Linked DNA regions of Drosophila melanogaster. Changing the gene in region 1 together with any one later gene gives a genetic interaction. Each region holds a gene or a part of one and is shown on either strand. Other genes may lie near its edges.

Region 1 (7,698 bases):
TAAGGGGAGTACATCAAGTGTACTTGGGTAGGGGTTAAGTATGATTAAGTATGTTGAGTAAGGTCAAGCGGGTGCGTTCTCTGCAGGCGTCTTAGGGATTGGCTGTGGTCTAGAAGGTTGACGGCCAGGTGGTTGTGGTGGTTCTCCAGTCTGCTAGCATATCTCACGCTGTGTCTGTAGATTTCGTCGTCTACCCATGGAATCCCGAGCTCCTCGTGGATGGCGGAATTTTCGTGGTAGGGATGGGCGTTGGAGACTATTCTCAAACATCTGTTTTGAAATCGCTGGATCTTCCTTCTATGTGATGTGCAAGCAGTGCCCCACAGCTGAATTCCGTACGTCCAGATTGGCTTGAGAATAGTCTTGTAGACGAGAATCTTTAGTTTCTCACGCAGCTTGGACTTTTTACCGATGAGCCAGTGGAGTTGCTTTAGGCGTATGTTGGCCTGGATACGCTTACTGTTGATGTGGGGGCCCCAAGTCAGCCTTCTGTCTAGGGTCAGCCCTAAATATTTGGGGGTGCTGGAGGTAGGGATTGTGTCGCCGTCGAGTGAGACCGGGGGGCATTCTCCTCTGCGCAGAGAGAAGGTGGTGTGGGAGGATTTATCAGCGTTGATCATGATGTTCCAGCGTTTCAGCCATGGATCCAGTGCATCCAGTTGCCTCTGGATGATGGCTGATGCTAATTGAGGGTTTGTTGCGGTGGCAAGGAACGCCGTGTCATCTGCATAGGTGGCTGCTGTGAGGTAACGGGAGGGTATGATAGGGAGGTCTGCTGTAAACAGGGTGTAGAGGATGGGACCAAGGACGCTGCCTTGAGGTACTCCGGCTCGTATAGGCCTTGTCGTGCTTGTTGAGGAACCGCATCGCACTTGGAACTCTCTTCCTTCAGTATACGATTTGAGTAGGGCATAGTGGGAACTGGGAAGGTGGGACTTGAGTTTGTAGAGGAGTCCAGGATGCCACACTCTGTCGAACGCCTGCTTGACATCCAGGAATACGGCCGAACAGTATCGTTTGTTCTCGAATGCATCTAGGATGCGTGCTACGAGCCGGTGGCATTGCTCGGGTGTTCCGTGGGATCGCCTGAAGCCAAACTGGTGATCAGGGATCAGTCAAGCCTCGTCCAGTACTGGCATGACTCTGCGCAGAAATACTCTTTCGAGTATTTTGGAGAGGATTGTCAGCAGACTAATCGGTCTATATGAGGCAAGATTGGCTTCAGGTTTTCCAGGTTTGAGGATGAGAATGACTTCTGCACGTTTCCATGATCTCGGGAAGTACCCTAGTGAGAAGCATCTGTTGTATATGTTGGCCAACAACTGGGAACAGGGAGGTGGCAGCATTTTAAGGGATGTGGCGTCGATGCGATCCAGTCCTGGGGATTTGCTAGCCTTTAGGGAGGCGATCTCTTGCGCAACCTCTTCTGGGGTGACGGGCTCTATGGGCAGGCTAGGAGGACATGGACTCTCTAGGAACCTGGTGGTTGCAGCACGCTCTTCGCCAGTGCATCTGTCAAATGGTGAGAATGCATTCTGGAGGTGATCTGCAAACGCTTCAGCTCTTTCGGCTTCAGAGCGGCACCAAGAGCCGTCCGCTTTGCGCACCGGCGACGCCTTCTTTGCAGGCCTCCTGATATGACGCGTGACTTGCCACAGATTATGTTGCGGGTCACCAGGTTCCAGCTCCTCAAGGAATCTGTCGAAGGAGTCTTGCCGTAGGGTACACAGCTTGTCCTTGAGTTCCTTGATGGCTCTGTTGAGTGCTGCCTTGTCCCTTGGGTTGCGCGAGAAGAACCAGATTCTCCTGAGGCGCCTTTTTTCCGCTACGAAGGCCGCAATTTCTGGAGACCAGAGGTGAAGGTCTCTACCGGGAGTTCTTGGGGACGTTGAAGGAGGAGGATTGGCAAACTCAGCAGCATTGTACATCTCATCCGTGAGAGTTTTGATTGCCGCATCGATGTTGCTTGGAGTGGAGAGTGGAGGATCCGGGTGCAGGGAGGACAGCATCCAGAGTGTGAACTTGGAGGCATCAGTGTGCTTCCCGGTGAGTCTTCTGGGCAACTCTTTTTTGAGGACGGGGATGTTGAGAAGCATTTTTATAGCGCTGTGGTCGGATATCAGCTTGTTATAGTTGGAGCAAGTTAGTCTGTCTTGCCCTATGCCTTTGGAGATAGCAAAATCCAGGAGGTCGGGCAGCAAGGAAGGGTTTGAAGGCCAGTGGGTAGGCTCACCAGAGGAGTGGCAATCCAGTCTTCTGCTCTGCAGGAATCTGTGGAGCGTTCTGCCTTTGGGGTTGATGGAGCGGGACCCCCACCAGGAGTGTTTGGCGTTGAAGTCACCAGCTGCTATAAAGCGAGGTCCAAAGGACTCAAAAAAATCTTGTAGGTGAGTCTCGGTGATCGAGTGTCTAGGTGGGAAGTAGACCGCTCCAACGGTGATGTCTCCATGTAGGCTGGAGATTCTGGCCAGGGCACACTGGGCCCATTCCTCCTGAAACGCAGGTAGCTCCGTGTACTGGATGCCACTCCTGATGAGCATGGCTGCTCCTCCGCGCGCTCTGCCAGATGGATGGTTGGCAGGGATGACATCGTAGCCGCTAATGCTAAAATGGGATCTGGGACAAAAGTGGGTTTCTGATACCAGTAGTACATCGATGGCATCTGTTTTTAGGAGGTGTTCCACCTCGGCTCTGCTCCTCTGCAGGCCGTTAGCATTCCAAATAACTATTTTTAGGCTTTGCATACTTTTGCGTTGAGGATGGAAGCAACAAGCTGCGTCATTTGCGAGAACATCTTCTCCATCATCCTTTCGACCATTCCTTCGAAGCGAGCAAACATTTGTTCCATGTTACTGGGTTGCGGAGATTCAGGTGGGGTTTGACGGGTTTGGTTGGGATTGGTTTGCTGAGGCACTTGGGTAGACATGAGCGCATCTCTGTAGTGACAAATAAAATGTTTTGACAACGAAGAATTTAAAGAGGTTTATAACGAGCATTGCTATATTCATAAAAATTATAATGAATAAATGGAATTCATCAATATAAACTAACAAAAGGTTTGAGCCCGAGATAAAAGAAAATTAGTATATATACAGCATGTCAAAAGCAATTATACAAAGTCAAATGTCAGCATGTTTCGAAAATAATTAACCTTTAACGTGTAATAAATAAAAAATAAATAAATAAAAATTGTATTATGATCATAGGTCAAAGTATGTAATAGCTTATTTTAACTTCATTTGTCAACAATTGTGGCTATTATATATACTTTAATTTCAAATTCAACCGCAAAGTCTTCAGTGTTGGTGAATTTGGTGAGCGTAGAGTAAAGTTTCAGCTTGTTAGCCTTTTTTAACTGTAGTAGCCTCTGGTCACACTAATCGCGTCTTTATCAAATTCGGTTATCAAATTTGTTTTGCGCCCGTTCATTCGTCTTGCGCTCATTCATTCGGTCATTCATTCGCCTTTTGAATACCGCTTCGAACGGTTGTGTCTACATCTTTGCACAACGAGTTCGAAAAATAACTAAGCTCCGCGCGAAAACAGTAGGAAATTAAAACTAGAATATTTCTGGTAAAAACATTTATCATTGGATACAATAATTTTAACACGAATCGTGAGAAGAGGAAGCAAACAATTAATACTAAAATAAAATATAAAAACGAGATCTACAACCCGCGCGTTTTTCGATTAATGAATTAAAAATAAGTGTGCGTGCTACAAGTGGAAATAAAACTCGATTTCTGGGCCCCCGACTTTTGGTTGCAACACACTTTATAACGGGAAGTGGCTCAACAAGTGGCTCGGGGATTATCTAATAAAGCCCTCCTACCGAAAATCATACTTAAATAATATAGATTATTATACGGGCAGAAAGCAACAAATAAAATATACATATATCAATTTTAAAACAACCAAAGGCCCCCATGTGTATGTGTGTAGTGTGAGCGCGTGCATATGTGTGTGAATCGAGAAACGCAGAGCAGCAGCAACAATAATAGCAACAACACTACAACGGCAACGTCAACAGCACGCAACAACAACAGCCACAACGGACGCTGTGAGTGCGACGGAGACGGCGACAGCGTGAGTCATATACAAAGTGAAATGAAAATGCGGATAAAGCGAGAAGCGCCGTGTCTTCTGTTATTTATGCCAATCCAAAATACCAACAACAACAATCGCATTGGTGGTAAGTACAAAAAGAAGCGAAAAAAAGAATCAAATCAACAGAAATAAGCAATAAGAAAAATCGTACAATTTAAGATTACACTCAAACCAATCAAAAGAGCGGGACAGGGAGAACGTATTAATCCCTCTCTCTTGCTCTCTTGATTTTTACCGCTCGGCATGCTGTTTACTTTTGCTGGGGCGCGAAAGAGAGGGGGAGCACACGTAAGCGTCTCCATTTCATTTCTACAAAAGCAAAAACAAGCAAAAAGAAACGAACTCGAGAGAGATCAGACTCAGAGTCAGTTACTTTTTTTCGCTCCATACGTGACTCACAATTCGCGTGTCTTTCAAAAATAAAAGCAAAAGAAGCGTTTCGATTCGTTTCTGTTGGCTGGATAAATGAAAAAAAAAATCAGTCAGTCCAACAAAATACGAGTACAAATAAAAAAAATAAAACAACAGAAAAAATGTAAAGCAAAGCAGGTTTCTCAAGCGGCCTGGCAACGCTGAAAAACCCGCTTTGAAACGACCTTTCGAGTACGAATTCATCGGCACAACAACAACAGAAGAAGGGAGAAGCGTGCGAAGGAGGAGGCCAAAAGGGGAGCAGAAGGAGAAAAAGCAACAGCCGCGGCAACAACTCAAAACTGAAGTTGGGAGTCGGTAAGAAAGAGCGGAAGAGCAGGAAGGGTTAGTTGCAAGGGCCAGGGGCGAAACTAAAAAGGGGTGCCCTCGTTGAGTCAAAGTTCCAAAACATTTACAGAATAGTTGAAATTTATTAAATATAATATAAGTTGAAGCATTACAATCGCTTTATAAATCACTTAAAATTAATATCATCTTAAAGTGAAAGATTTACTACCTTGTTGCCAAGTTTTTTTTAGACAATAAACAGCGAATTACTAATAACAGTAAACATAATGGCGAATCGCAACCCAAAAGTTGGACAAAATAGTGAACAGAAAGCTGATGCATAGCTCATTTCCAAAAGTAAACAAGCCACTGTATACTAATTAGCACTTTCCTATTTTCTACTCTACTTCACACCACTCCCCCCGTTTCCCACACCATAGGCCCCCTTCGAAACCCACACACTCCAGACCCAGACGCCCCTGGAGGTTTGCAATGCACTATTGGCATGCGATTTTACTTGTTTTACTAGCCGCAAACAACAACAACAGCGACAAAAAAAAAACATAACCAACGTTTCCTGCCGCGGTGAAAAGTTGGTTGTACTTTTTTTGAGGCTGTTGCTTTTTTCTGTGTTGTTTTTTGGCTTTTGAGGTCGCTTGGCTGATAACAGCAATTTTGTACCCCAGTAGTTTGCTCGAAGTTGTTTTGCTTTTCAGCATAAAAGAGACTATACTTTCTGGCAAGGCTGATAAAGTCGATTTGATCAAGTCAGCACAGTCCGAACTCCTAAGACCACTTTGAAAACATAATACAAACTGTAGCATTGGTTATCTTATCAAGTTTTTTCTTTTGACGGACGGCTGAAATGATACCCTTCAATCAAGGAACATGGCTTAAAATTAAAGTTTAGTGTAGGGGGAAAATCGTACTTGAAGTTTTTAAAAACAAATATTTACTACAAGATTAATTTTAATAATATTCGAAGAAATCAGAATGATGCTAAGAACATAAATATACCAGCATTAAAAACCCAAGATTGCCGTACTAAAAAAGTTTTCAACTATTTGTTATTGACAGCTTTTGTTCAGACTTACCTATAAATGAATAATCTGGATTGTGTTTTACTATAATATACTATCAAATTGGTATCGGGCTAGCTTACAAAGCGTTCTCTAATTATGCCTGCTCACTGTGATAAGCGACTTGTGAGCTGCGAGCGAATGTGGAAAACTTTGGCTTTGCATTCGCTCGTAATCAGGCGAAAAAGAAGAAAAAAAAACTCTAGAGCCGAAATAAATGTCTTACGTCAGTTTTGGCAGGCGGCAATCGAAACGAAATATTTTTGCGGTTTTTTTGAACGGGGAACCTGGCGCGACAAGTTTTTCGCACTGCGGTCCATACACGGTCCGTGCTGACATCATGGGTTATAAAATTAAGCAAATCGCTAACCGCCAATTAAAATCAGTTTTTAAATCACCGCATTAATGCGTATTTTCTGGTCTTCGTCTCCTTCCCTCGGCAGCCAATCAGAAGGACTATCCCAACAAGCGGTCCAGGGAGAATCTGGCATGTGACGAAGTGACATCGACGACGTCATCATCAACGGCAATGAACGGCGGCGGACGGACGCCGGCGCTAACCCGCAGCTGCTCCAGTCCGGCGGTCTACGGTAAGTGAAAGTCGGCTAAATGGGGAACCCAGCGCAAAGGTATGCGACCCGAAGACGGGTTTCAAACAATACTCTCTGTGAGTCGGTTAGAAATTTTTGGCAATTATGTGAAAAGTCGTGAATCGTCATGTATTTTGGTATGCAAGAAGTTAAAAACCTAATATTTCCACATGCAAACGTAGAGCATTGCATCTTGAAAACTGTTAGAGATATGATAAAATAATCAAATAATCAAACACTAATCACTCATAGTAGATTGCATAGATTGCAATCTAAAGCTGATCACAATAACTGTGCTAGTTAGGAAGTTACAAAGCATTGCGATCAAGAACGGAACTCAAGGGGCACCATATCGCCAGCCGATCGGGAAATCGCTCGATTGTTCTACTGTTGCATATTTGCATGTACATATGTATGAATAGTGCTGCTTGTGCTTACCATTGCATTTCATTTCCTACTTGGTCCAAGTTCAGCACCCCCTCTACAAACTGACCGTTCTGATAGTACAACATGGCGATAAATTGTCTCAGATTGTCATACAATCTTTCCGTCATTTCGCCCCATCTCTTTCTCGCACTTGTGAGCTCTGCTTTAACATTAAAAACAAACAGTTTTGTTTTTGCTTTGGCACGTGCTGTGAGATAAATCGCTCGCTCTGTAGCGCTCTCTTGCTCGCACATTTAACTCGTATTTTTGCACGTTACGAAATGTGGTGTACGTATATGTACATACATGTGTATGAAAAGTATGCGAAAGCAGCAAAACATATGCAAAACAATAATAACAAAGGTAGCAACAACAACGATTGTCATACAGAGAAATTTTCAATGTCAAACTTTTGCATATTACTCAGTTACTCACGTTGGGCATCGTACTAAATCTCGGCTTTGAGTGGGGTAACCCTCAACTTATACATACTTACATATGTATGTATGCATGTACATATGTACATGTATACCGCTTTTCCACCTGACAAAGGTGTGATCACATCGTGATGGGCTTCAGTATCTTCCATATAGTAATGAATTATTATAGATGAAAAACTAAAAATAATTTTTAGTTCAATCATAATCTCAGGCCTATACTAATGCTAAAAATCATTTGATTTGAATATACATTATCGGTCAATATATTTCCAATGCAACATTTGGAGACAAGTGTTTCTAATGAAACAGTTATTTAAAATTATTTCACATATCTGTAAAAAAAAAAAGTGAATAAGA
Region 2 (7,377 bases), on another chromosome or scaffold:
TCGCTGGCTTAAGGCTATGAAGTTGGCCAGTTCCGCAATGATTCTATTGTTCCTATTTTTAAATTTGTTTGCAAACCATTATTTCTTCATTAGCCGGCGTTTATTGCGGCAACAAGTCATCTAACATTTATTTTATCATTCAGTCTCATTCATCAAGTCTTAAAGTTCACTTACCAAACTTGTCAAGAAGAAACCGGCATACAAAATAATTGTTATTAACTTTTCGTGTTCACTTTGTTATTTTTTTTTATTTTTGTATAATCCAATTTTGATGTCCAATTTATAGCTTCGAGTTAGCCGTTAAGACGTATCTAAACAATCAAGAAATTTGCATTTATGATTAATGAATTAAATAATATAGACAGGCACAAATTTTACACACACATCGGTTATGCTTGTTGAAATATTTTGCCGAAAATATTCTTGTTTTCACAGCTGTGAACATGTATTCAATTATTTGATTTTAAACGGTTTGATTTATTCGAGATAAATTTATTAGAGTTATTTTTGAACTACATGTTCATTAGGATTTTTTATACATTGCACTTAGTAGATTTATTGCTGAGTTATATAACGAAGCTTTTGTTTTATTATATAGATGTAATTTATAGATTTCAAATAAATACATTTGGTTAAATTATAATTTTTTTTGTCGAATTCACCACTGCCGTAATAAATAAATGTTTAGAATTTATTAAAGAAATTATCCTTTGTTTAACTTCTATTAATTAATTCCGTATATTTAAGAAAAATGTTTTCCTTGCAGTTGCAATTTGCTGTTGCTGACTGCACCCCCATTGAGTCAATGGTTCTTTTTCCATTTTTTTTCATTGCTGCTGCTGCTGCTGGCAGTCAACCGGTTTAACTAGTCAAGTCCGCCGCCGCCGCCAGACTTTGCACATAAATTGCATTTTATTTTAAAAACCCGGTAATAAATTGTTTCATTTATAATTAGAATTTTTGCCAAGCTGACAGTCCGTGAAATCATGTTTGAAGGTGCGAATACCAAACATACTCGTATGAAACTCCACTTGCGGGAGTTCTCAACTATTTTGTTATGGATTCGATATCGTTGTGGTTGTTGGTGCTGCCCCTCTGGTTGACCTTCGCATATTTTTCGGACAGGAATTTGTAAGTCGCTACGATTCGCGTCAGTTTATTGGCTCAATTGCCTGCAAAAACAATGAACGTCGACGTCGGCGATGGACTTGGCACCAAAACGTAAGGTGCGACGCATCGCATGTGGAAATCTTCGAGCACATTACGTTATTACGTTATAAGCGCAAAACAAAAGCGACAACCAGCAACAATCGGACAATGGGAAAAACAGACATTACAGTTACAAAACGAAACGGAAAATATGCGACGAGTAGCACACAAAAGACGCCGGCGCACAGTGGTACAGTTATTAAAAGGATGGTAACATAATAATCCTTATATTGACGTATGAACATTGCAAAATTCATATAATTGTTCTTAAAACATCAACAAACTAACTTTTCAAGCAAATATGAAAACTGAGAGTATAACAATTCATAAACAAAAATAATAATAATAATCTTCAAATATCTCAGAGCTTAGCCATTCTAATTGGTATCACTTCTTTTAAGATTTCATCATAATATCTGAAAAAATTGGGTAAAACTTTTATTGTAACTAGTCAGTTAGTTAGTTATTGTGACTAGTCACCTGGTTTTTAAAATATATTATATATGAAACAATACGGATTAGTGAAACGAATTATTTGCTGAGCCCAAAGTCACGATCCACAATTTTATGCTCAAGAACATTAAATAGCAATAACCCACGGTGCAGCAACGCCCCACAAAGCAAGTGAGGCATCAGCAGCACCAGCATCCAAGTACCGTATGCAGCACACTTGCTGTGCGCACTCTCACTCTCACTTGCTCTCTTTCCCAAGCTCCAACCTCCTTCCATCTTGCTCCAATAATCTCTCTCTCTCTCTCTCTCTCGCACTCGCTCACACTGCCACAGAGACTGCAGCTTTTATTTTCAAGTCCAACGAAAGTGAAATTGCTGGCGCACCCCTTTCCGCCCACTATACCCCTCTCTCTAACACCTTTGCCGGTGGATTGAGGAAATGAAGTAAACATGAAATTGACATAATCAACACGCAGCTGGAAACTCTGCAAATGTCTTTTGACGAGACAGAGACAGCAAGAGAGGCACCAAGAGCTACAACAACAGGTTTCTGTGTCGCCCTGTTGATATTGCTTTTGTTGCTGTTGCTGTAATGCAGTGAGAGAAAATAATTACTCGGAATTGTATGATTTATGTCATATATGAATATTATGAATATCTTGATATTACTTTTTGTAGTACTGTTATTTATCAATATAATCCTTACTAATATATTAATAAAAATATTAGTAACTGTTTAAAACAATTTTTTCCCGTGCTAGCTTTGTTGTTGCTGCTGGCGGCGTGTGTTCAATGAGCGCTGGTGCGTGTAAATATGTAAGAGTTGCCTTCAACCGGCTTTTTCGTGCAACTTTTTTTTTTAGTTTTTTTGTAGCAGTAGTTTTTGTTTTCATTTTTGCGCTGGTCAGTTTGGTTTGAATCATCTGGCCATATAGGAAATGAAACGGGAGATGAAGTAATCCCAACGCCTGACATGGAAATTACATAGGCAAAACGCATCACAAAAATCAACCTGATGCACACACGTCATACAAATTCAACGACAACTAAAAGGGCAGGCAGGAAAATACAGTAAAAGGAAGGGGTATTAAAAAAAATACGCTCTTTATGTACGCTTTCGCGGAAAATACAAAAAAAAGGTTTAAAATTGCTGGAAGTTGTTATAATCAATTTTCTTTTTCATGTTTTAATAAATATCGAAATATCAAAGGTTTAGTTACTCCTGTTACTCCTGTAAGGGTAATAAAACATTGTGTTGGGTAATACTAAAGGGAAAATGTGCATTAGAAATTACCAACACAATTTTCCCGCTCCCACCCACACATACACCCATCACACATACGTTTGAGGAATGGCGGACTCCCTCTTTAGATGTTTGGGAATTTTTTTGTTTGATCTATCATATTTTATTTTTAGTTCTCGGTGTCTTTTAAGTCTCGGCAATCAGTTTGTTACCCAAAAAAATAAATAATTTATTATCCATTGTTCAGCATTCTATTTTTGCTTGAGTATACCAAACTATTTATTTACATATCTTATTGAATTTTTGATAATATGGATTTTGGTATTTTTTTATTTATATTTCTACAGAGAAACTTTTATTTGTATTGCTTCAGAGAAACTTATTTATTTTTGTTATTGTATTGCACTGAATATTTCGCACTTTAGTTGCAAAAAAATAAATTGCAACATTTAATTGCAACCAAGTTGATTAACTTTTTTATGTTTAAGGCAAAAATTTGCTGGCTTTAATTATATTTTATGTGCGCGCAAATTGTTAAGGTTTTTCGACACTGTTGTTTGTTTTAAGCTTTTTTGTTTTATTTTTGCAGACAACCACGAGGAGCAAAGCATAAATAACTAGATGAGCTTCAAACTTAATACCGTTATTTGCGTTATTATAACGCGGCTTTTGCGGTTTCTTTTTGTTTTGGCAAACTTATTTCGGCTTGAATTTTCGATTTTTGATTTTTCTCCACTTTTACGAACACGGTGGTTTTGTGCATGGCATAACACACAGACAAAACAAAAGCAAACAAATAAAAACACAATTCGATTTCGTCTTCGCTGCCTCTCGTTGTTTTTTTGTTGCAACTGATTTAAAATGCGCAGGCGCGGCGGCGACTTACAAAAATCTGCGTCCGTTTCGAGAGCTTGCCGTCGATCAACTGAACGCCGAGAGCGGTGAGCAAAAGACAAAACCTTCCCAAAAGAGAGCAACAGAGCGCCAAAGCTCCAAAGCGATGGGAGCTTTTTGCTCGACCGCTAATTGCAGGCTTAAGTGAGTGTGAATTTATGAAGCAGTCATGTCGGAAAGTCAGAAAATCAAAAAAAAAATTATTAAAATAAAAAATATCAAAAAATCCGACAGGGAACTTGGGCTATATCGCCAGGGCTATTCCTGATCAGGGACCTTGTCCGACTCTAGGCTGCCACACTTTCCAACCGCAAACTGGTTCATCTTGGGCCTGGCCTCACACTAAATTCACAGCCGAGCGGCAAATTATATACTTTAATCAGCCGGGCGAGAATAGCATTGGCACCTGTCACGAGGAGAAATAATATTAGTATAAACAGCTGTGCTCCGAAAATATTAGAACTTGCATTGTTACAAAAAAGGAAACAAAATAAAACTCTCAAACGTAATTTTATCATCTGACATTTTAATTTGGTTGATATAAATTAAGGCCCACTTAAAATATTAATGTATAATGCATTACTGGACATAAAAACAAAAGATTTATTTATAAGGTAGTATGTTAAAATGAGACATTTATTATTAAACCAAAATAAAACTTAATGAAACGTAATTGCATTGTATAATCAAAAATGCAATCGTTATAATATCAAAATTTCAAATTTTAAATTGCAATTTCCACTTTTCATACAACATTCTTTAATTTAAACAATTATGTCAGAAAAAATAGGTGCCAAATATTGGATAATATTAAAACGAATCCTCAAAAACTCCATCTTCGCAGCATTCCAACTTAAAAACCCCCAATACTTTTTCCTTTATTTAGTTATTTGCCAGCTGCTACTATTGCTAATTCAATTAGCATAGAGACCCGTCTGGTAATTAATATTTAATTTGCTAATTGAATTTTTACTAGCGACTACCGTGCCACGCACCAACGCCAAGCCAAATCACCAAGTTAGCCTCCGTGATCTCTGTTTATGTCCAGTCAATCCATCCGACTTGTGAATCTCGACAGTTGCAAATTTGGCTGGTCGACGCCAAAGCCACTTTTCAGCCGCAGTATGCTAGATCTTGTTGTCTTTGCCTTAGTAGTGAATCTTTTATGATGTGCAAAATTAGCCATAAAAACATACATAAACAAAAATGTAAATATTGCTGTAAAATCAGTAATTCATTATACGTAAGGCTCTCTAGAGTTTAGCCGATGTACTTAGTCTTTGGATTTAAAAAAGTATTATTCTGTGTTTGGAAAAAAATGTGGTGCTTAAAGCTGGCTGAAAAACTTCTAAAGTCGTATAACTATTTTTACAGCATGCAATTTATAAAGGAAGTATCTAAACTACTGAAATATTTACTTTATGTTAAAAATGCTTCGAAAAAGGTTTTTAAAACTGGTGTTTAGTTTTTTTTTTTTGCTTATTGGCAAACGGACTTCATCATAATCGATTCCCTAGCTACGAATAAACTTCCGCTACGCAGTCCAATGATTCATTCCCATTAAAATAAATATCTTGGGGCAAACCAATTCTTTTGACTGCTCTCACAGTGAATTCGTACACATGTTTAGTCACCACGAGTTCGTCGCCAAAGTCTTTTGTTCTAGCGTCATTTATATGCAAACCTATCACCTTGATGGGCGATAAAAACCAGAAAAGTCTGAAAAACATAAACAACAGCATCCCGGACCAGTGCAGCAAAGCGGTGACCACAAAGTTGAAATTAACGAAAATTCGCGCGGCAAGGTCAGTTCAAAGCGGTCAACGACTGCAGGCCGCACGGGAATGGCCAACATGAAATGCCCTTTTTCGAACAACAAAAATTTATCGATTGCAAGCAGTAAATAAAAATTATTCAGCAATAAAAGCGAAAAAAAAAAATTAAAATTAATCACTCGACAAGAGGAGATAACTTCTGAGCTACGCATAATGCGGCTACCGTTTAAGACTTAAATGAAAATATAAAAAACAGACACAAAATCCGGATGTGTCGCGATGCCTACGGATTTGGCGCGCCCAGACCGAGGACGGTCGTTGGTCCCTGGGGCCACAGAATCGCCGACGAAGTAGACCACAAAAAAAAACGACGGACACCGTACGTGTCCCATATCAGGAATGCAAACCACGCGGCGGTCACTTTCGGTTGGACATTGTTTCTGTTATTGCCGATTTTGGAACTGCTCGACTGACTCAGTTTCGGCGAACCTCCACTAAAAGCATTCATAACTCAACTGCCAGCTGTCAGCGGCAAAAAGAAGAAAAAAAAAAGCAGATACAAAATATCCCCAGGTTTATACCACGAAAAAAAAAGGGAAAGGGCAGTGTAATGGAAAATTATAATGGAAATAAAGCGAGTGCTGATGCTCTCGGAGTTACTTTGCAATCGTCTCAAGTTCAAGGTCTTCTCGATTTTGCCGTTCAGTGCGATGATAGTGCATTAAATGTGCTGCGATGGGAGATTGTTGTCTGTCGATGGAATGGTAATTGTAGTATAATTATAATGGGCTTAATGGAAGCCGCAGTGCTTGCGATGGCAAATAAGCAGATTGCTTTTAAAAATTATAATAACTTACTGGATTTGCAGGGCTTATGAATAAGCTATGATTAGTAAAATGTTGCAAACGGCTTAAGATTTTCTGTATTTTGTATTATTATTAATTGAGTGATAAAATAATATGTTTATTTCACGCTCCAAAAGGTTTACCCGAGTGAAGCGAACTATGCGTCACTAAAATTGACTTAAAACCAAATAAGGAAGTAATCGACTTGAATGTCAATTACAATTACATACGCACTCAGAGACATGCGCCGAGTAATAAATTAATCAAGTTGCGCATACGCCATGTAAGCCGGCCGACAGTCGCCGAAATTGAATTCAGTCGATTCAGTTGCCTTGATTTCAGCCCGACAAACTATAAACAAGCGAAATATACGTTACGCACAAATTAAATTCATGAAGTTCAAACTCAGAAATTCCAGCAAAAACAGTGGCTACCGACGAATTACGTGGCATGCGGCATGCCTGCCGCCTTTTCAGCCCCCGAATTCCCACATTTAATACATTTCGTTTTTTTTTTTTCTTTGGTCCGAGTGCTCGCAATGAGGAAGGTCAAGTGCAAGCGCCAAATGTGTTTTATATTGTTTTTCACATTAGTCTCAGCTTTTTGTTTAATTAATTTTTAATACAATTTTGGCCGGTGGCTTGTTTTGTTGACGAGCGCGTTGATGATGTGACAGGCGGCGGCACACACACACGACTTGGGTGGTTCTGGAGGCTAATTGTGGCAGTTGATGGAAGGGGGGCACTTAAAAGGTGCTCGGGCGCCACAGGTGCGACCTTGACGAGGTGGCAATGAGAAGAATTGGTAATTTTGAATTAAATAAAATCACTGTTTAGAACTACAATCCATCAAAAGTTATCTTCATTGATTGTATTTATTGGTAATCAAAAATGGTTTACTCTAAAACTTATATATACAAATGAGGAGTATTTAAATATAAATCAGTATATTTGAAATA
Region 3 (6,152 bases), on another chromosome or scaffold:
CAAAGTGCGTTGCAGAACCAATTGAGATTTACCCATTTGAGATACATCCCATTGAGAATACTTTGGCACGCGATGCGTTATTTTTTTTTTCGAATTTGGAATGCCAAGTTGATTGTTTTTTAATTTCGCTGCGGGTTGCATTCGATTTTCAATGCACTTGAAGTACGGATATCAATTATGGGATTTTGAGTGAGTTTCCGGAACAAAATAAGGGGGAGATAATATATTTTATTCTAATTCTATATGTATAAATAGTTTTTCCTGTAAGGAAATACCGATCTTTTGACCTTTAGAAATTTCCGAGAACAAGTAACAATACTTCCTTTTTGGTCATAAAATTTTCACGTTTACTTTTTGTTTAAACAAACAATTAGCAACAGTCGATTGTGTATGCAAATGACTTAAAGTGCGTGCAAAAGAATAAAAATTAAGCACTTAAAATATGTTTTATGTTATCTTGGGCCATAAAATGCTGTCTGTGTGATTTCTAAATGAGGTAACAAACTTGAGCTCCCTAGTCATTTCTCCAGAATTCGTTTAATCTACAAAACGCATGTGCTAAATTTAAACAAATGTGCTCATTTGCTTCTCAAAAATATACGTATACATTTGTTGAATTTATTTACACTCTTATTTTGGACCTAATTGAGCAAGGAGTAAACTGGACATCAAACTTCTGATGATAATCATTTGAAATCCATTACATGTGACCTTATTTTCGTTTAAGAGCTTTGCACAATTTCAAGCAAAAAATCGCTTGCTCTGCTGTAAACAAAAGAAGTACATGTTTACACTTGGGTCGAAAATAAACAAATAAAAAAACAGAGCGAAATTCACTATTATTTTAGTTTAAACTTGAAAGTGTGTCAATTCAACTCTGGCCGCCCAAGTTGCAAATATACACATATCATATATTTAAATCCCGCAAATGAATAAAACTCACTTTTTGTATCTACTGCAAACAAACATCAATCCGAAAAGTAGCAGAAAAATGCTGAAAAACGTAAAAACACGCCGCACACGGTCAATGCCACAGATATCTGTATTCAAATTGTCATAAATGGAGCGAACATGCCCATTCAAGTGATCACAGTGTATTATATTGAACAACTGCTTCATGATGGCCAATAAAACCATGAACTTATGGCCAAAACGCTTATTGAACACTGCAAGAAGTTTTCACTTTTCCGATTTCAATTTAAAATCATTTGTATTTCGCTCACTATTAAATCGAGTCCATAGGCAGCACTTTGAAAACTTTGCGCCCAACAGGTTGAGCAGCAAATACAGAATCGCTCAATATAAACAAACTATTTCGCAATCGGGAATATGCAGTGCAATGTGTGTTATGCCCGATCCAATTCGATATATGTACATATATATATATGTATGTACATATGGATGGTACCACAATGGATTTCGTTCCAAAGCGAGAAGAGCGCGCCGCGTCCCCGGTTGCCATTCAATTATTATTATTATTCTTTTTAAGTAATTTTTGTATAAACAACACACAACGCAGAGATATGTGTGGCGCACGTTCGGCCGCGATTAAGAAATCTTCGCGAGAAGAAAAGGCCAACCGACTCCGACCGAGCGTGGCGGCTCACTAACCACACTGAGCACATACATTCTCGCCAGCAGGAAAAACGACGAAGTGCCAGTCAGCCCGAACTCGAGAAGATATTGCACTGATCTGAATCTGAATCTGAATCTGGGGGATCGCGCACGTGCGCGATGGGAAAAAGCTCTTCCCACATCGCCGGAATCGTGGGGTGCCAGCCCACTGATACCATCGACCCATATATGATGCACTAAATCAACTCGAAGCGAACCAGAAGTTATAAGCAATTAATAAATAGTTTGTTAAACTTTACAATAAGCAGAGAAAAACGTTTTATATTCATAAATCAAACTTAGTCTCGCACCTGATTTATTTTCTTAATCTAGAATGCCACATTAGAAGAATGGTTTAGTTTGAATTTTGTAAGAGCCTAGAATACATTTTATAAATCTGTTATTCCTAAGATTTTAATTTTAATTTGTTGTGCAATTATAACAATATGCTTAAAGATCTCATTTCTAGCCATAACTCATATCATTCTTTGGATTTAGATTAATTAGGGGGGGAATATCATGTATCACTGTTTCAAAAATTTAATACGCATATAAAGCCTTCGGATCTAAAAAATCTTCTGTGCAGATCTCTGGTTTTCCAAACTGATAAGACTGTCTGAAGTTTAACTTATGTAACTTATCTTATTATAACTAATAAACTCCTTTAAACTAGCTATCAGCAGTCAGCGGTAGAAACCAGCTCCATAAACGACCTAGACGGAGGAGAAGTAGTCGCAGCTGCCGCACATGTCGTATAGTTGTCCCGAAGCGGGTTCGATGAAAAATCGCAGGGCCTGAGTGCACTGAAGTTCATGGCTGGCGATTTGTTGTTGCAGCAGTATCTGCAGCTGTTCCATGTTCGCAGAGTGCTCGAAGCGGATGCCACACTCGCAGATGAAGGCACCTTTGTGATGGCGTAGGTTTTTAATCTGACAAACTGGGCATAAAACCTCCTTTTGCTGCTCATCGGGCTCTGCGTATAGCGTTTCCAGATTCTTTTCGCCCAGGGCATACCACTCGTTGACATCGGATAGTAGCTCCTCCAGAATCAGCTCCTCAAGCTCCACATCCTTCTCTAGCTCACTGAGTTCCAGGCGCAGGATTTCCCTGAGTTCGGACTGAAAAAATGGGTGGTTTATGATGGGCTTACTATGGAGATTTGTATGTCCTACCAATTGGATTTCTCGTTGGGCATCCGTGCATCTATTGCGCGTTTCTATGATGCGCTTGCGGTATTTCTACAGGGTATTTATGTGTAAGTATATTGGTACTTTAAGGGGTACACTGATGTCTTTACCTCTCGCAGCATTTCGCGAAGTCTTGGCATTTGGTTGCCCATCCGCTGTCTTTTGGCCACTTCTTGAGCATGCCGCTTTTGCTCCACGGAGGTGCGATAAACCGGGCTTTGAGTGGAGTTCATTTCGGTTTATTTGTATATGTGGTTATTTTGTTTGTTTTTAATCTTTTTTTTTAACTAGATATGGTAGGTCAGTGTCGTCAATAAGGCAAGGTTCCAATTTTATAGCGCTGTTGGTGATTGATAGTGATCTAAAAAGTATACGGTATTCAAAATTAATTAGGTAAATTAAGTGAAATGAAGTAAATGTAAGATACGACTCATCTCCACATATATATAAAAGATTATAAAATAAGTAGTATTACTTAACACAGCCCATGAAGACAGCTCGCACAATGAATTCATGAACTAAGGGCGGCTTAAATACACTATTAACATGTTTAACCAACTTACCTAGTAATTAGCAATCGGAAATAGTTGAAAAACACAACTTTTTTGCTAAAAAAAAAAATCCGCGCAATTTGCTGTTGCTCTGCTAGTGGTGGCACTTCTTCGATAGCCCACTCCGCGGCCAGTGTGACCGTTTGGCCGATGGCGCGCGTGTCACGTGTGCACGCATTTCGCAGCACTGAAAGCAGGGTTGTACCGATTTGACAGCCCGAAGTTGGCGTATAGCACGTTTCCGGTCTTTCTTTCCCTTTCTTTTACCAGCGTGTGCAGTGACTAGTAAAAGGTTAGTGCGATATTTTCAATAAAAATACCATCCAAAGTGAAAGGAAACCGCTCAAATGCCATTGTTTTGTGCCGCCCACAGATGCCTGCTCCGGTCGTCAAGAAGCCAGCAGCGAAAAAGCTGCCCGCCGTGCCGGAATCGAAGCTGAAGTTCAGCAAGAAACAAATCTCCAAGCGAGTCGCCGAGTCGAAACGTCGCCTGAAGAAGGCCGCCGTGATTGCCCTGCGCAAGAAGGAGAACCTGGTCCGCGCCGAGAAGTACCAGAATGAGTACATCAAGGCGGAACAGCGCGAGATCAAGCTGCGTCGCTTGGCCAAGAAGCGCAACCAGTTCTACGTGCCCGCCGAGGCCAAATTGGCCTTTGTCGTCCGTATCCGCGGGTAAGTCCTCTAATGCTCCTCCATGCACAAGTCACACCAATTCATGCCCAATCCCATTAACCGCCAACAGTATCAACAAGGTGGCTCCCAAGGTCCGCAAGGTTCTGCAGCTGTTCCGTCTGAGGCAGATCAACAACGGTGTGTTCATCAAGCTGAACAAGGCCACCATCAACATGCTGCGCATCGCCGAGCCCTACATCACCTGGGGCTATCCCAATCTGAAGTCCGTGCGGGAGCTGATCTACAAGCGTGGATTCGTGAAGCATAACCGCCAGCGCGTGCCCATCACCGATAACTTCGTGATCGAGCGGAAGCTGCGTCAGGCGCACCAAATTCAGTGCGTCGAGGATCTTGTCCATGAGATCTTCACCGTGGGGCCCAACTTCAAGTACGCCTCCAACTTCCTGTGGCCCTTCAAGCTAAACACCCCCACCGGCGGCTGGCGCAAGAAGGCCAACCATTATGTCAACGGTGGTGACTTCGGCAACCGCGAGGACCAGATCAACCGTCTGCTGCGCAAGATGGTCTAAGGACTCCTTTTGATTTATGTGCTGAAACGACAACTGCAGCGGTTCGATGTAAACAGTGAGAGAAATAAAAGTTACTTTTATAAACCCACGAAATGCCGTTCAGTACAAAAACGCAGTGTTTTCGCTTCGATTCGCTGATTTAGTCATTGCGACTTAAATTGGAAAATATCAGTGAAGAGAGAGAGGACTTTTTTAAGGAACGTTTAGTTAAATGTACCAATAGTTTCATAACAACTTTAAATTTAGTAATTTTCTTTCATTTTAATGTTACATTTTTACTTTAAAGAATTCTGCGGTACTCCAGAAAGTCTTGCCCTTTGCTAAGATTAACCCCACGTTCAGTATAATTTTTTGGTTTGCTAATCGTTAATAATTCGATGTATAGCAATATTTAAATTTAAAATTTAGACAGTTTGCTTTTGTAGGCCCATTATTTGAAATGAAAACACAGGATTCTTGTTAATTTGTCTACGCTCTAGATTGTTTATTGTTGTTCTGGTCAAATTTTAAGCGCGCTTAGTGCACAACACTTAAATGCAGATAGCAAGCTAGATTCAGGGTGCCAGGGATAAAAATCGTTTGCCAATGTACACTTTATTGAATCATGGTTTGCCTTTCAGCTGGCAGTGGATTTAAATCGTTTTTTTTTTTTTTACACACACAATAGTCCAAAGCAGTTAGCAAACAAACATAAATTGTAAATTCCAATAGCATGGAAATTAGTCAATAATCGGGAGGAAGCTGGCACCCTTTTTAAATGTATAATTTAATTAATCGTTACCACATGGAGCACATGCCGTTGTCCGCTGTTCAGATTCCCGCTTCTACTGGTGTCCACCGGCCTGCGTGGTGGTCACATGGATGTTCTGCACCAGGCGCTGGCCCCAGTACTCCTCCAAATCGAATGGCTTAAAGTTCTTCAGCTGATTGTCGGATTCGTTGCAGTACAGCACAGGTGGACCCTGTTCGTAGACCTGGAGAGAGAGCAAAGCATGAAGAGCAACCGACAATTTGGACCGGGGACCGCGAATCTCAATGGTTTTCACCATCAAAATGCTCTTGAATATTTTAGAAAGATACCTAAAGGTAACTTGTTGGACTCGAGGTTGGCTATTTCTAAACTAGATCTTGATGCCTAAAATGCATAGAATGATCCTGCTGATCGAAATTGGAATTATCCACTATCGTTTCCTATTCTTCTAAAGAAAAGATTGGACTGCAAAGTCTGAATAACGAGCAAGTGTTCACGGTCCCTGATGTCCGCGTGCGAAAAGCGAAGCAGGGTGACAAAGGAGCGGCCTTTTGGATCCAAGTAAGCTGCTCACCTTGATCCATGCCCCCCGGATGTACCGGATGAGCTCATCGTGCTGCGAGATTGGCAGGCTCTGTGGTTGCTGTTGTTGCTGCTGCTGTCCGGCGGCGGAGGCGTAGAGCGGATTGCTGTTGTTATGGCCACCGACGGACGGAGAGTTTCCGGCACTGTGGTTATTGTATCCCGGCGAATTGGACGCCCCCGCCGCCGAATTGTTGTTATGGTGGTGATGGTAGCTGTGCGGCGCATTGTGCCCGCTGTTCTGCCGCCTAATGTTGTAGGGATA

What was found. Genes that interact genetically often act in the same process or in processes that back each other up.
Region 2: of puc (region 1) and mol, changing one suppresses a phenotype caused by changing the other (phenotypic suppression), as found in Drosophila melanogaster (one study listed by BioGRID).
Region 3: of puc (region 1) and RpL7, changing one suppresses a phenotype caused by changing the other (phenotypic suppression), as found in Drosophila melanogaster (one study listed by BioGRID).

The regions. Positions count from the first base shown.
Region 1 is NT_033777.3:8,101,904-8,109,601, forward strand, and holds the start of puc (puckered), read left to right. Parts: upstream 1-3,428; 5' UTR 3,429-3,957; coding exon 3,958-4,192; intron 4,193-4,584; exon of another isoform or gene 4,585-4,836; intron 4,837-6,328; coding exon 6,329-6,475; intron 6,476-7,698.
Region 2 is NT_033779.5:14,993,725-15,001,101, forward strand, and holds the start of mol (moladietz), read right to left. Parts: upstream 3,836-7,377; 5' UTR 3,792-3,835; exon of another isoform or gene 2,990-3,791; intron 312-2,989; 5' UTR 175-311; intron 1-174.
Region 3 is NT_033779.5:10,197,505-10,203,656, forward strand, and holds RpL7 (ribosomal protein L7), read left to right. Parts: upstream 1-3,499; 5' UTR 3,500-3,644; intron 3,645-3,725; coding exon 3,726-4,024; intron 4,025-4,094; coding exon 4,095-4,554; 3' UTR 4,555-4,817; downstream 4,818-6,152. Other genes in the region: Sur (sulfonylurea receptor), read right to left, coding at 944-1,119; Ripalpha (RPA-interacting protein alpha), read right to left, coding at 2,328-2,732, 2,787-2,852, 2,912-3,034; CG34159 (uncharacterized protein), read right to left, coding at 5,379-5,528, 5,880-6,152. UniProt on the Drosophila melanogaster protein: Binds to G-rich structures in 28S rRNA and in mRNAs. Plays a regulatory role in the translation apparatus; inhibits cell-free translation of mRNAs.